2 linked regions of the Drosophila melanogaster genome follow. The protein of the gene in region 2 purifies or fractionates together with the protein of the main gene of each other region. This does not show direct contact. Each region holds a gene or a part of one and is shown on either strand. Other genes may lie near its edges.

Region 1 (6,982 bases), on a different chromosome or scaffold from region 2:
AAATTCAACTTAAATCTCATATAATATACAGTATACTTCAGATAAGCTCACTCTGTATATATAGAATATCCCCTTTTAAATAGAATAAAGTAGGCATATATCTGCGCTTGCATCTCTGCTAAAAATCATTCATGACTGCATCAATGGAAACCCCTGGTTTTTCCAGCCTACTCACTTAGGTGTAAACCCCTTAATTTATGCATTTGTTGCCGCCATGGCAATGGCACTGCACTCACCTGCCCGATTTGGTAATGATCATTTCAGTGCCCAATTCATGGAACTTATCCCACAGCTCCTTGGTCTCCAGGTGGCACTGGACGGGCGTGAGATCGTCGCAGTTGCACGAGCCCACTATCTTGGGCGTGGGCTGCTGTGGGCGTGGCATTGCCAAGAGAGATGAAAAAGAAGGAGTAGAGAATTAGGAGGCGATTTTAGTAGGACGCTCGAGGAGATGCATATTTCTTTCGCCACACTTAGTTGGTGATGCATACACACAAAGAAAATCATATCTACTATATATAAAATCTATTATATAAGATAATATAATATATAAGATAGGAAATAATCCTATATCAAATTTTTTGTACCTATATCTTATTTTATAAATTTTGCTAATAATACTTTTTGCTAGCCACTTTTTCTAGAAGCAAAAAGGATTTATGTCTCTGTGCAGCTTTACCTGGGCTGGTGATTCCTCTGGCGACAGGCGTTCGAGTTCCTCCGGACTTTGCGAGGGCGGGGGCGGCGGTGGCGAGGGCGTGGCAGCGGCTCCCACTGCGGCAGCAGAACGCCCTCGCTGGCTGCTTGATTTGCTGTTGGTGTTGCTGTTGCCTGAGTTGCTGCTGTTGTTGGTGTTGCTGCTGTGATGATTGTGATGTTGGCGTTGTTGCTTGCCAGTTGTTGCGTGGTGATGTGTCTGCTGCCTTTGTTGTTGCTGCTGCTGCTGTTGTTGCTGTGCAACACGCAATGCCTGACGCGCTTGTTGCTGCGCCTGCAATGCTGCCGCTGCAGCCGCTGCTGTTGTTGCCGCCGCTGCTGCTGCCGCAGTTGCCGACGGCATTTCCGAGTCACTGCAGTCGACCACATCAACGTCAACATCATCGTCCGCATCCTGGCCTGAATAGCGCTCCACAGATGCGGGACCTACACGACCAGAAATGAATGGGGGGCAGAATGCGTCAGTAACTAAGTCCCAATTATGGAAAAACAACTACTTGCAACTACAAAACACAATCATTAAAAATTAATGTTTGATACAAGTAACCAAAAATAATTAATATTAAATATAATGATACTTAGAGCTTATAAGTTTATAAAAAAGATTCCTACGAATTTCTAACAGTAAAGAATGTGTATTTAAGTATATCATTTCTTAACAGACATAAGTGCTAATTGTTTGTTGTCATATTAGAAGAGCATATTCTTTCAGTGCACTTAGAAAAGAGAGACATCAGCGTGGCTCGTTAATGTGGGAGTTGCTGCTGGGCTGCAACATGTTGCATGTTGTCGATGACGAGTCGCAACAGCAATGCCAACGAGAATCCAGTTCGCGACCAGATGCATTTTACAGATTACGCCAGAAATTCAATTATTTGCTCAAAATGCAATTTCATATGTTAATTTCGTGTGTATTTGTGTGCTGGCATTGCCAATGAAAATTGCCAATTGAAAGAGAATGGTGTGCACGATGGTGGGGGGGGGGTCGGTTTTCACACTAATGAATGCATCTGTTTGCGCTTTTGTCTCTGCCCAATTATGGCATCTAAATAGTTTTGCATTCAGAGTGTATATACAAATGCGATTATACATATATATGTATCTGCTCTGCGCCTGTCATGTGCATTTCCCAACCCCTTTGGCGCATTCAAATAGGCTTTGATTATTTTATTGCCGCGCATTTGCTGCAATTATCAAGTCATCAACGTTGCATTGTCATCAATATATAATTTATATTGCACAAAAAGGGCAGCAAAAAATGTGGAAAATATAGAAATGTAATGCAGCTGCGACAGTTTTTCAAGAGGTGGGTAATAAAGCAAGTGAATATTACTAAGCAATCGATTACATGACTCTTTACCAAAGCCAATGAAATATGTTTATATATTTTCCTAACTGCTTTACGTGTTTCTAGAAATATATAGAAATATCAACTACATTTCAATTTTCTTGCTAGCACACTAACCTACTAATTTGCTTTTGTTCTTCATCAAGTCTCAAGTATTCAAAGCCAATTTGCTACACATATATTTTTCTGGCAATGCATTTTGTTTCTGCTCTTATGTGTGATTTTATCGAGTTCTATTTCGATTTTGAGTGTACTTTCCTAATCTTGTATCTGAAATCTGAATTAAAAAATTCACATAAATAATACATAAATGTGATAATTGGCTCTTCGTCACAGCTTGATTATTTTCAATCATTTATCAAGCCTTTCATATTTTAATCCTGGATCGTAAATATTTATAGTTAAATCAGCAGACAAGCCCGTAACTTGGGATAAACATCAACATGCTAGATATGCCAGAGTTAAAATCTTTTCAAACTTTGACTGGCCAATTTATTAGTCTCAATCGAAAGAATGGAATATTGAATATGTTAATAGAGTGAAACTTGTTTGTAGTAAGGAGCTGAATATGAATTCAAGAATCATAAGAAACATACGTTCATGAATGAAGCGATGGGACTCAAATGAAGATTGGTTTTTAAGCTCGTTTCATGCAAACTAACGATATCAAGATACTTATTGTTCTGAAACCCAATCGAAAATGAAGCCCTAAAATGCATTGGCTATTTTTGAACAGCTCTTGAGTCTAGTTTGCGATGTAGGCCTGATATTTTAGTGCGGGAATTACTTTACTCACTCAGACTGCGTTCCGAAGGTTCGCGGCTGCTTGGGGCGTTTCCGCCGCGCGCCATAATCGCCGCAATTGAGAAATCCGTGGCGAAGGAAATGTTGTGCTGATTGTGATTGTGATTATGATGGTTGTTCAGCGGATGGTGATGATGATGGTTCTGATGATGATGATGATGGCTGCTGCCGTTGGCTATGTTCGCCGCTGCCGCCGCCGCTGCCGAAACAATCTGCTGCTGCAGCTTCGACTTGAAGTTCTGCGTCTGCGACGGCGAAGGCGTTTGCTGCGGTTTCGTATTCGCCGGCTGATTGCTCAAAAGCATTTTCGGGCCGAGACCAATTGGTAATGCTGCTGCACGGATTTTAGCCAATTCTTGCCAAATATATGCTCTCAAAGGTTTCGGACTTTCTTTCCCGCTTTTGTTGGTATTTTCTTTATCGTTTGCCTATTTGTTGCCCATTATTTGATATGTTTGTATTTGCATTAGTTCTACTATTTTGGGACTTGTTTGTTTAATGCTCTTTAAAATATTATATTCGGATTTAAACTGAATTCTTTACAATTTTCTTCAACATATTTGTTGATTTTTTGCCGGCTTTTGCTTTTAATAATTTAAACTGCTTTATCACACAGAGTTGCTTTGCTTCCTTTTTATATATGTATGTATGTTATTATTCTTGTGCCGTTTGATTTTTTATTAAATAATAAAATATTATAAAATTTGTCTAATTTTTTTTTGCAAATAATGTGTATTATTTTTTCCAACGTTTTACGACACACTTTGCGACTTGACGACTTTACGCCCGTATTTGCGGTCTCCGGTTTTTCGTGCTATTTATCGTAATTTGCGTATTCTCGAGTAGGAAACGGGAAATTCCGGAGCGCCGTCGCTGCTTCACAGTCACGCAGCTGACCATTGAATGAATCCCAATTCGCTTTTCGCCATGTAAACGCCAAAAGCGCCAAAGCCAAAGCCAACAAAACCAACAAAAAAACGCAACGCAAAAATCAACAACAAATACGAGGACGCCGACAGCGAAGCCAACTGCGACGTCGACTGACCCCCCAAAACAGAAACAACAACAGCTGATGTGTCTTACGGCGAAAGGTTTTCAACACCACGTAACGCGACGTAAGGAAACATTTCCAGAGAACATGGCCCGAAACTTTCCTTACGTGACGTAGGCAAACCGCCAGTTTAAACCGCAAAAGAAATATGGGAAAAAATACGGTTTTCAATTAGACTGGTGTGAGCGAGATGGCCACACATGCAGTGCATTCCCATGCTGCTTGCAGCGACGTCGGCGTCGAGGCATAACTCATTTCCATTTTCCAATTCGAACACACATTCCCATGCACTCAAAACAATACCAATTCATAAGCTAGCCGCGTGTTAGAGCGAGACAACTCTATATAGCCGTATTTGAGTGAGAGCCTTTTGTTGCTGCCATCTCACTCGTGCCGCTAGAAGCAAGGGAGCGCGAAAGAGAGCGCGCTGAGGAGTTCATAAATTCGTCATTTTGTTTTTGGCTGTTGACAGTTCTTTGCTTCATTGTTGTTGTTGCTATGGTGAGTGTGAGTGGATTTTGTTGGTCGGGGTTGGGGGTGTGTTTCACCGCTTTTCGTCGACTATTTACAATTATTCTCAACTCGGTCCGATTCCATTCCGTTTCTCATTGGCTATTCACCACAGCGCACTGAGTTGAGTGGAAAAGCGAGTGAGTTTCGTTCTAGTTACGTTTACTGTATAAATTGAGAATATTGAAAAATTCTTTTAATAATATTTAATTTCATGGTATCTCTGAAATTAATATTATTGTTCTTGATTACATATTTTTTAAGTCTTAAATAAACGATTTTATATTAAGAACTAACCTATAACATTGAAATGAATGTTTTATAAACATAACCTTATAAAGCATATTTAAACATGGTAGGGAAATCTATAAAATTCAGGAGAGGAAATTAATGTAAAAAATGAACAAAGGGGTTATCCCGCATTTGCCATCATTTTATTGTTTGCCAGCATTTTATGTAAAATATTTCGAAATGTTTTCTGTTTCCACATTTTTCTCATTTTATTCAAAAAAATTGTACAATTTTGAGCTATGAAAAATGTATTGAATTGTTTCGTTACAAGTTGTATTTTCACCAAATTCCAAGAAAAATATATTTATGTATTTGTATTCTTGTAATTATTCATTCCCTTTAAATGTCCTTTAAACATCCTAACCATCACCCTATAATTTTCCAGACCGTCAAGAGAAAAAACAAAAAGTCCTGCGACAGGACTTATCTGAGAAAGTGTCTCGTGTGCTGGGTCCTCCAATTGAAAAATCATAATTGAATATCTGGGTTCCTGGCACTCCTCCCTTTTGTCCGCCCACCGGCGTATGTAAATGTTTTTAATTTAAATGTTTGCTCAAAGGAAACAACAAAAGATGGTTGGAAAAAAAATGCGACTATGGCGTGTGAACGCAGCAGAAAATTATAGACCCATGGAAAAGGGAGGAAACTGGTGGGGTGAGGGGAAGGGGCTCTGGTGGTGCCACCATCTTGTTTCCCTCCGTCAGACTTTTTTCACAATTCGTCAGCTGCGCCCTTCGTCCTCCTAGGATGATGTCCTCTTTTCCCAGCACTGCGAGAAAAGTTGAATAATTTCGCTACATTATCGAAAGTGTAAACTATTTAAATTTTATGTCTTGTATGTTCTGGTTACAATACATTTATCTTAAAATTTAGTTTTGGTAACTTTTATATTAAAGTTTACAACATATTGATATGAATGTGTTTATTATCTAAATATTTAATAAAAATGTTTAGTCTCAAATGCAAAATTTAAATTCAAAATGCGTCTTATTTTAGTTTTCCCAGGTGTAATCGTTGTTTTTGTCTCTGCGGTTTCATTTGCATGCGATTCGTGGTTGCCAGCCGATGTGGCGCACAATTGAGCCACTAATGGTGATGTTGATGGTGGTCGGATCGGTGGAGGGAGTACATTCGGCTATATGTGGTATCTGGAGTATAGGGATACAGACAGGGTGGGCCGCAGCTCGCTTTGTTTGCTTTGTCGCGGCTCGGTGACAATTTTTCAATGATTTGTTTCCTGCCCTGAAATCTCATTTGCATATGCCACCATATTTTTTCAACTTTCCAGGTTTTTTTTTGGGGGGGTTTTCCCTGTTTCTATTCCTGCTCCTGCCCTTGCTCCTTTTTTATATATATATTTTTTTTTTCAGGGGGAGTGAAAAATTGCAATCGCTTTGTTTTTGTTTTCTTTGTGGGCTGGTCTCGGACAATTTGAATTTGATTTAATGAAATTAAGAGGGCGTGTTTTCCTAATAGTCATTTCTTTAAATAGTTTTCAACGATTTTCGTGGAAATCAACGAGCTAATGAAGTTCGTAAAGTGCGGAAATGCGTTTGGAGTTAATTGAGAAATTTCAACTTTTATTAAAACACCCCCTTTTTATGTTATTTTATGGGAGATTTAAACCTTGATATTTAGATTTAAAAAAATAAATTTTCAGATATGTTTTTCTATTTTAATTCTGTGAACATTCTATGATGATGCAGATTTTGAGCAATGAAATATTTGTATATGAACAACACCGTCTTTCTTTTAAAACACGTAAAGCCCACAAAATTGTGCCTTGAGGTATTTGCATAATGTTGCTGCATCGGAAAATCAAAACAAAGCACTTCAAAGTTATTTATGAACAAAATTGCCAAAAACTATGACTAATCCTGGGCAAAGAAATCGGAGAACGTAGCAAAAAAGTTGGAAGAGCACGGAAAATCCAATCAGGGGATATATACTCTAGAAGCCATTGCGATTCTCATTGAATGGAACAGATTTCAAATAACCCATGTATTCCTATTTTGTTTACGCTTTGACGGGATTACGGCAAAGTCGCATGCGGAAAAGCCGCAGAATGGAGCACGGTTTTCCCAATGGCTATTAGTTTTTATTTGGGAAATTTCACTATTTTCCTTGCGTTTGCTCCTTTTGCCTACGTGCACTAAATGGCCAATAGGCGGGCGGCGGTGGGAAATTGGGAAAAAGGCGGAAACTAAGCCGCCAGGACATGGCCATCTAAATGCACATGGCGGCCATATTGTGCCAAAGGA
Region 2 (7,275 bases):
GCGGTAAAATAGTTTGTGACTTTTCTGTAGTCGTCCTCCGTTTTCGTCTGAAGTTTGATTTCGTTGATAGAACCTCTTACGAGGGGAGTTATATGAAAGCTATCTTTCCCAATAAGGCCAATCAAAGTATTTACAAGACGGCTTGTGCTCTTCTCGCGGATGTATATTGGCGGAGGCTTTGTTTTCTTCGGTTCGATATCAACGGATCCCAGCGGCACGTCCTCAGCGGTATCTACCAGCAAGGCAAATCTGTTGGTATTTGCAGGGGCTACATTTTTGATCAAGGTAGAGTTATCGCGTGTATTTTTCGGCTTGTTTCCCAAATCTGAATTTTCCGGGCTGAGCTTTCGCTTTATTGTAATGTAGCGGTCCATTCCAGTCTGCCAGGTCGACCCAGCTTTTTTGTTTACGTTTTCGTTTTGTTTTGCTGGCAGTGCAGCAGTACCGTTTATTGCTAGCGGTTTTGCTTTCGCTGACTTAGTCAGACCGTGAGCGGGTGCAGCCGATGACGAGGCAGAGCGGGCTGCCGGTCCCTCTCCAGCTGTTGTTGTTGGAGGTAGCGGGGCTTCTGTCGGAGCCAATAGAGCGGGAGAGCAGGAGCGCGCTCTTTCTTGATTTGTTGGTAGAAGAAGGTTTCCTGGGCTATGGGTTATTGACCGCTCGATGTCTGCGTTTGGGATTGTCGGTGAGACGTAGGAGAAGTACGCGTTGTTGCGCTGAATTGAGAGTCGGCGTTCGTCATGCTCGCGCTGACGCTGGGCGCGAGTGTCATTCTGACTCATAGTTTTATTATTTAAGATAACAATTCACTATGTATTTAAGCGATCTTGCATCGCATAGAGCGTCTCTTTCGCTTTCAGATTTTTTATTTAGTTTATTTTATTTGGCGTTCACTTCACTCAAAACAACCGATTTTGTGCGGAGCACGATAAAAACGTCTTCACACGTCGGCGATCGAATTAATGAAATAGTAAGTTAGCGTACATTTGGTTTATATCTAAACTTCAATAATCTGGGGAAAAGAATAAAGATAATTTGTGTTCGTATATTTCCCTTTCCCGCTTTTAGTTTCAGTCCCCGAAATGTGATGCTCTTCGGCATGATCACGCAGATATTTTGTGGTAACCTCACGGGGCACGTGGCCTCCTACGAGCTCCACGTGTTCTTCCGGTGCCTCTCCGCCGTTTGCTGTGCCCAGATGTACACGGCCGGAGGCCAAATCAGTAAGTGGCAAGACTTAGTTTAAATGTAAATGGATATGTCTAATGAATTTTTAATTATTTGCTCCTTACTACAGTGGCCGACATAACGGGGGGAAAGTACCGAACTTGCGTCTCCACACTCTTTGAGCAGTTCTGGTCTATTGGGGTAATGATGTTGCCCGGAGTTGCCAGCTTCTGGTCCAGCTGGTCCCACCTCTACATGGCCATCTCGTGGCCAACTGTGATACTAATCTATCTGTGGCAGTGAGTAATCAAAAACAGATATTGATAGCAAACTCATAGAGTTAGAGGGTTATCTAGATTCGCATAAGTAACGTATTATAAGTAACCCTCATAAAATACATTTATTATCAGGATTACTAGCCCAAAAAGGAACTGCTGTGCAGCATTCATGTGTACCAACATTTTGTGGCCCATACTGACACTTGCGTCTCGCATCCCTTTTACAGGTGGATTCCCGACTCGCCGAGATGGCTTATCGCCCGCGGACGCACACAGGACGCCAAGAAGATCTTGCTGGAGTGCGTGGAGGTGAATGGGACGGGCTACAACCTACCGCACGACATCGACCAGCAGCTGGAGCTGCAGGCGCAGACCGCCATGGACGCTCCTCCGCCGAGTGGCTGGTGGTCGATGTGGAAGGGGGAGCGAGCGGTGCGACACATTGTGTGTGTGCACCTGGCCTGGTCGCTGTACATTGTGGTCTATTACGGCATGCTGCTCAACATCCGCTCCTTCAGTCGCGACCACCTGTACATTAACACCTTTTTCGCGGGCTTCAGCGAGATGATGGGCACTTTCTTCGGGCTCTTCCTGATTCTGAAAACCACCCGCAAGTGGCTGTGGACGGGACTCTTTAACATCGTGGCAGGATGCATTGCCTACTGCGGCTGGCTGGTCCCGAAGCCCAGCGTAATTGGGCTGGATCCGAATGTAGCCCTGCTGATGTGCTCTGCCATGGTCTCGAAGATGGCCATTTCCACTACGCTCAGTATACTGACTACCTGCACGGTGGAGCTGGTTTCCGATGACAAGAAGAAGATCACTTCCTTCTCCACGATTTGCTGGGCCCGTTTCTGGCTGCTGGGAGCGCCCTTTATTGGATCCACAGTGGTCTTCGGCCAACTCATTCCCCAGACGGCCTTCGCATCTCTGGCCATTCTCGGTGGCCTGTGCACCTCCCTGATCAGCAGTCCCAGGACCCATCCCATCTCAAGACCCTCCTCGCCTGCTGCACAGGGAACCCAAAACATCACCTCGCAGTTCACCATCATTGACGGCATGGACAACAAGGGGTACAGCCCCACCTCGAAGACCATCCACTCGAACAGCACTATTTTAAAACTAAACACGCCGCAATCGAATCTACCTCCACAACTGATGCCCGGCATTTGGACGACCAAGATAACCGAGGATGGCCCACCCATGTGAACTGCCTTCAGAAAGCGTGCGTTGACAAATTAGCGGTGTGTTTGGACTTAAGATATAGAAATTTTTCTATAGCCCAGGAGTGGAGCCTCTATGATAATAAATCATATGCTGAGGGAAAGAAGCAGATGTTCAAAAAGTTAAGATATTGCTAGATTCACAGCTATGGCCGCGATCTGGTTCACTTTGGTGGTGCTGTGACTTGTAAACTATAGTCTATACAATTTGTTAGCGGTATATACTATGCGCCCGCTTTATAAGTTTATGGGCGCACTTATTGTAAGACACATTAGCTATCCTTTTTAAGAGGAAGAGTCAATATATTACTAGAATTTTCGCACACTTTTGTAGTACGTACATCAACTTCAACCTAAATCGGAGTGCTCAAGTGAGAAAGTCTCGCGCACTTGAAAACAAAATTACCTTAGGCAACACTTAAGCTAAAGCTGTGGAATAGAATCCTCGAGCAAATTATTTTAAATGGATAAATAAGCTCGCCGACAAAACCCAAACCCATACATATATTTTCCATTACCTTTAATTTTAGGGATTAGTTTATTTAGGCTATCCTCAGAAGACCTTAAATCATTCAAGTCTGGGATAAGCTTCAGCGCAGCCATAATTAGTAGTCTCATAAGAAAGTAAGTCAGATGTGGAGCACACCTTGAGAAAAAGGAGAAAGCCCAGTATTAAGCAGTCACTATTGAACCAAATCAAAAACGTACCGAATCGAACCTCACTGCACAGACAAACCATCTTTAAATGGTGATCCTTCTAAAGGCCTGTGGTTCCACATTAAGTGATTGTGTTGTAAACACCTGGAGAGAATTTCATGAAAAGACATACGAGTAGTTACACAATAATTATATATTATGGACAACTTTTATTAATTACCTTAATCTAATAATACTAATTGATTAGAACAACAATAATATTAACCTACACATTGAATAATTTACATTCGTTACGTATTGTAATTATCAATTACCAAGCTAATTTAAAATAAAACAATTAGTAGTTTTCAGGCTCTACATAAATACACAAGGCATAAATTACAATACATAATATTTTTAAAGTTGCATCACCTAGTGAATACGCTTAGCAACTTGTTGAATGTTATCATATATTGGTTACTACATAAAAGGAAGTGTTATACATGGCAAAAGAGCAATATTTTTCTAATAAAGCATCATCATAAAAACGAATTGATTTATTTTTTATCGTTGTTTGTTTTTTGTTTAATTAACGAGGGATATCTGTTATATCGATAGAAATTGAAAAAAAATATATATTAAAACAAAAAGAAGTTTTAAATTTGTAGAAGTGTGGGCGGTTTGTGGGCGTCAGAAGGGGCGTTGCTTTTGTTGGTAAATCGGTACAAATTTACAAAACCAATAAGAAAATCAAAAACATTTCCTAAAAGTGTGGGCATAGCAATCTTTGGCAGTTTGTGGGCGTGGCAAGAAGTGTTCTGGCAAATCGATAGGACCGAAGTTTGGAACCTTCATGGCCAATCTCAACTTTCTAGCTCTTATACATGCGTACTAATGTACATACATAGTTCCTGAGATCTCGAAGTTCATACGGACATGGACGGACCGATCCTGGTTAAGAATAAATAAATACTTGTTCACTATTAGTTAAATTTCCAAATATATAACTTTTCGGAATCCCGAACGGTTGAGTCGTTGAGTTACGCGGTTGCATTACAATTCTCAGAAGGCAACAAAATAGGGTGACGGTGTTGCCAGCCCTAATAAAGAGAAACATAATCGTCGAGTAGAAGTGCTCTCGTTTATGGATTTAAGAGAATGAAGTGCCTAGTTTTATACTTTAATATTAAATATTTGGACTTTCTGCGCTAATAATACGGCAGACTCCGAAAATATGTACAATACGATGCATATAAATCGTTGTTATATAAGGTCACTTTCCGAAATATATTCCTATAAGTTATTCTTTATAAAAATAATATCAAACAACAACACATCTTAACTTTATTGTGATAAAAGATGATTTTACATTTCACTACATAAAAAAATTGAGCAGTCGTCACTACTTCAATACAACATATCCAATATCAATATTTTACTGCAGCGTGTCAAATGTTTGTTTAAAAAAGCGTATTAACTGTGTCAAATGTAAAATTTTTTTTGGCACAATAATGTACTTGAAAACTTTTATATGCGATCTACCTGTGTTATACTTTAAACTTTTGACTTGTACTCTTCAAGTATCGTGTGCTAGAAATATAAAATGCAGTATTATAATACTGTGTATATCTACATAAGTAGGTAGCAAACATTATATTCTCGGTGACAAAAGTGATTATGGTAATAATACCAAAGCTACTGTTCCCTTTTTAATTCCAATTCTTTATTTTGACCGACTTTCATTTACTTGAAAATTCGTTGAAAAAAAAAATAAAGAAAAACTTGGATTTTATTTAACCATTCATAGATCGAAATATTGTGTAAGTGCAATTAAATAATGTTATTAATAACATGCTAGGTAACATTTGCCCTCTGGTATTTTTTCCCTGCTGGCAATTTGGCCACACTGTCACTTATGCTTCTTCAAATTGTAGCGGCATTTTCGCCAAAGCAACGTTGGAAATTCGCGTCACCAATTTCATATTGCGATAAATAAGAGTTTTATCCGAAAACGTATAGCTTAACTGTGTCATCGGCCTGTAGAAGAGCGCTGCCTGCCGGGATACACATATGCCATGGAATTCGACGACGCAGAAAATGGCCTAGGAATGGGATTTGGTGGTCGCGGCGTTCTGCGGGAGATCAACAAAAACGATGGCGGCATTAAGGTAAGTTAATAGCTGGACTTGGAGGCGTGCTCCGTCCGCGATGTACCAATGCAGCCACTTTCGGCAGAGGCATAATTCAACTCACACGTCTACAGGTACATATGTGTGTGTTCGGTTATGTACTTTGTACATATGTGTGGGTATGCTGCGTCGCAGGCTGTTCTGCTATTTTCTTTATTCGCAATTGTTCATCGTAAATACATATGTACATATAAATTTCCATTATTCGCTGTTCCTATTAGCTCTGAGGCAGCTGTCGCGAACGAGAGTTCTCTAGTTGATCGGTGTCCGCCGGACATTGTCCATCCCAGGTGACCAGTTTCCCCGATCTGCCATAGCCATAGGAGAATGGGCAATAAGCCGGGCAAGACACGGAAACCGAGGGCCTTGTCCGGGAAAATTACCATAAAGGCGGACGACGGACGAGGGAATCGGGTATGCCAAGGGAAAATCAAAAGTTACTTATTCTTCCTTCTATATATTTGTCTCTTGAAATTTCCACTCTCCAGATGGTGCACTTTCCATTTAAAAATGCTAGTGTGTATCGCTATTATGCCAATAAATCAGTTGGCGGCTAACGGCTGCAAAATGTCAGTGCCTAATGCGGTTTACAGTCCAAAAAACGCCCATCTGAGGATTTAAGTTTGACTAAATGTCATTTAACTCCATCTTCCCTTTTGCCAACAAAAATGCTCATTATAAAGGATCTACAGATGGTTTCCACCCCTTTCCACATTTGCCTATTTTTAGATCAGTTTATAGTTGGCTCTTCCTCAATATTTGTTTTCTTTTATTTTCCTGAGTTCTATTGGATATTCGAATTGCAGCTTAAGGTTCAAATTCCACTTGTATTCTATTCTATTGTATTTATTGTGTTTTCTGAAATCAGTATACTCATTTGTGGCCACTATTTGGATTCCACTCAAGGCTTATATGCTTCAACAAACTACATTGGTTTTAAATTCACCCTGAGCCGGGAACCGTGTGATATCTTGTCACCTGTCGCGCGCTGCTTGGATAACGCTAGAGCCAACATCTAACTATTCCCCCCTCGTCAAGGCCCATCGTGTGGGATTCCGTTTCATTGCTTACATTTTCTCGCCAAACATGCAAAGTCAGCCGTTGGGCAATGTGGAGCTTGCAGATAGTGCGCCATGATGCGCAACAATGGCTGTGGGATTGCATGTCATCTGGGACCCACCAGGCCTCTACACTTGAAACAATGTGATGAGCCAAATCAACATATTTATTATTTTAGAGCACTCTACTTGCCTCTACTGGTATATCTTTAAGAGAAAGCATTTTGCAAATAAGACTGTTCTCCAAAAATCCTATGGAAAATGTGCAAAATAATTCTGTCATCAAAGCGTTGAATTTGCACCAAGTTCCTCCAGTTGATTTGCGAAGACAATATAAGCAGTCGGCGGTCGCCGTATTCTCGTATCCCATTTATTTATCCCCTTCTTTAAGTGTTTCGACTTATTTGCGGTGTCTTGCACTTTCACTGCTGCCTTTCAGTCTGAATTTCGTCTGAGGCCTGTATAGTTTTTCAGTTTTTCACTGCAGTTCAGTCAAAAAGGTTGTCAACTTGAGCCCGCTCTTTTGACATTATTATTTTATAAATGTTGCCCACGACCTCGACCGTTTCCAAAATGTATTTCATATATCTAAGAGAAGTGTGTTTAAATGGATCAAGTGTGTGTTGCCCTCTAGCTTCATAAAACCCAATATATTTTCTCGAAATAGAAAAGGGTAACTATTCCAACCATAGAAAGGATAAGATTTCATCTTCAGAATCACCAG

What was found. Proteins that work in one complex are often made in the same cells at the same time.
Region 1: the proteins of atms (region 2) and H15 purify together in Drosophila melanogaster (affinity purification with mass spectrometry, with the first as the bait; one large-scale study listed by BioGRID). This does not show direct contact.

The regions. Positions count from the first base shown.
Region 1 is NT_033779.5:5,401,072-5,408,053, reverse strand, and holds the start of H15 (H15), read right to left. Parts: upstream 3,775-6,982; 5' UTR 3,175-3,774; coding exon 2,862-3,174; intron 1,144-2,861; coding exon 680-1,143; intron 371-679; coding exon 237-370; intron 1-236.
Region 2 is NT_033777.3:4,746,988-4,754,262, reverse strand, and holds the start of atms (antimeros), read right to left. Parts: upstream 4,229-7,275; 5' UTR 4,209-4,228; intron 3,855-4,208; exon of another isoform or gene 3,470-3,854; 5' UTR 3,377-3,469; exon of another isoform or gene 3,315-3,376; 5' UTR 3,187-3,314; exon of another isoform or gene 2,655-3,186; coding exon of another isoform or gene 1,673-2,654; intron 1,467-1,672; coding exon of another isoform or gene 1,298-1,466; intron 1,224-1,297; coding exon of another isoform or gene 1,069-1,223; intron 1-1,068. Other genes in the region: CG44098 (uncharacterized protein), read left to right, coding at 1,069-1,223, 1,298-1,466, 1,673-2,654.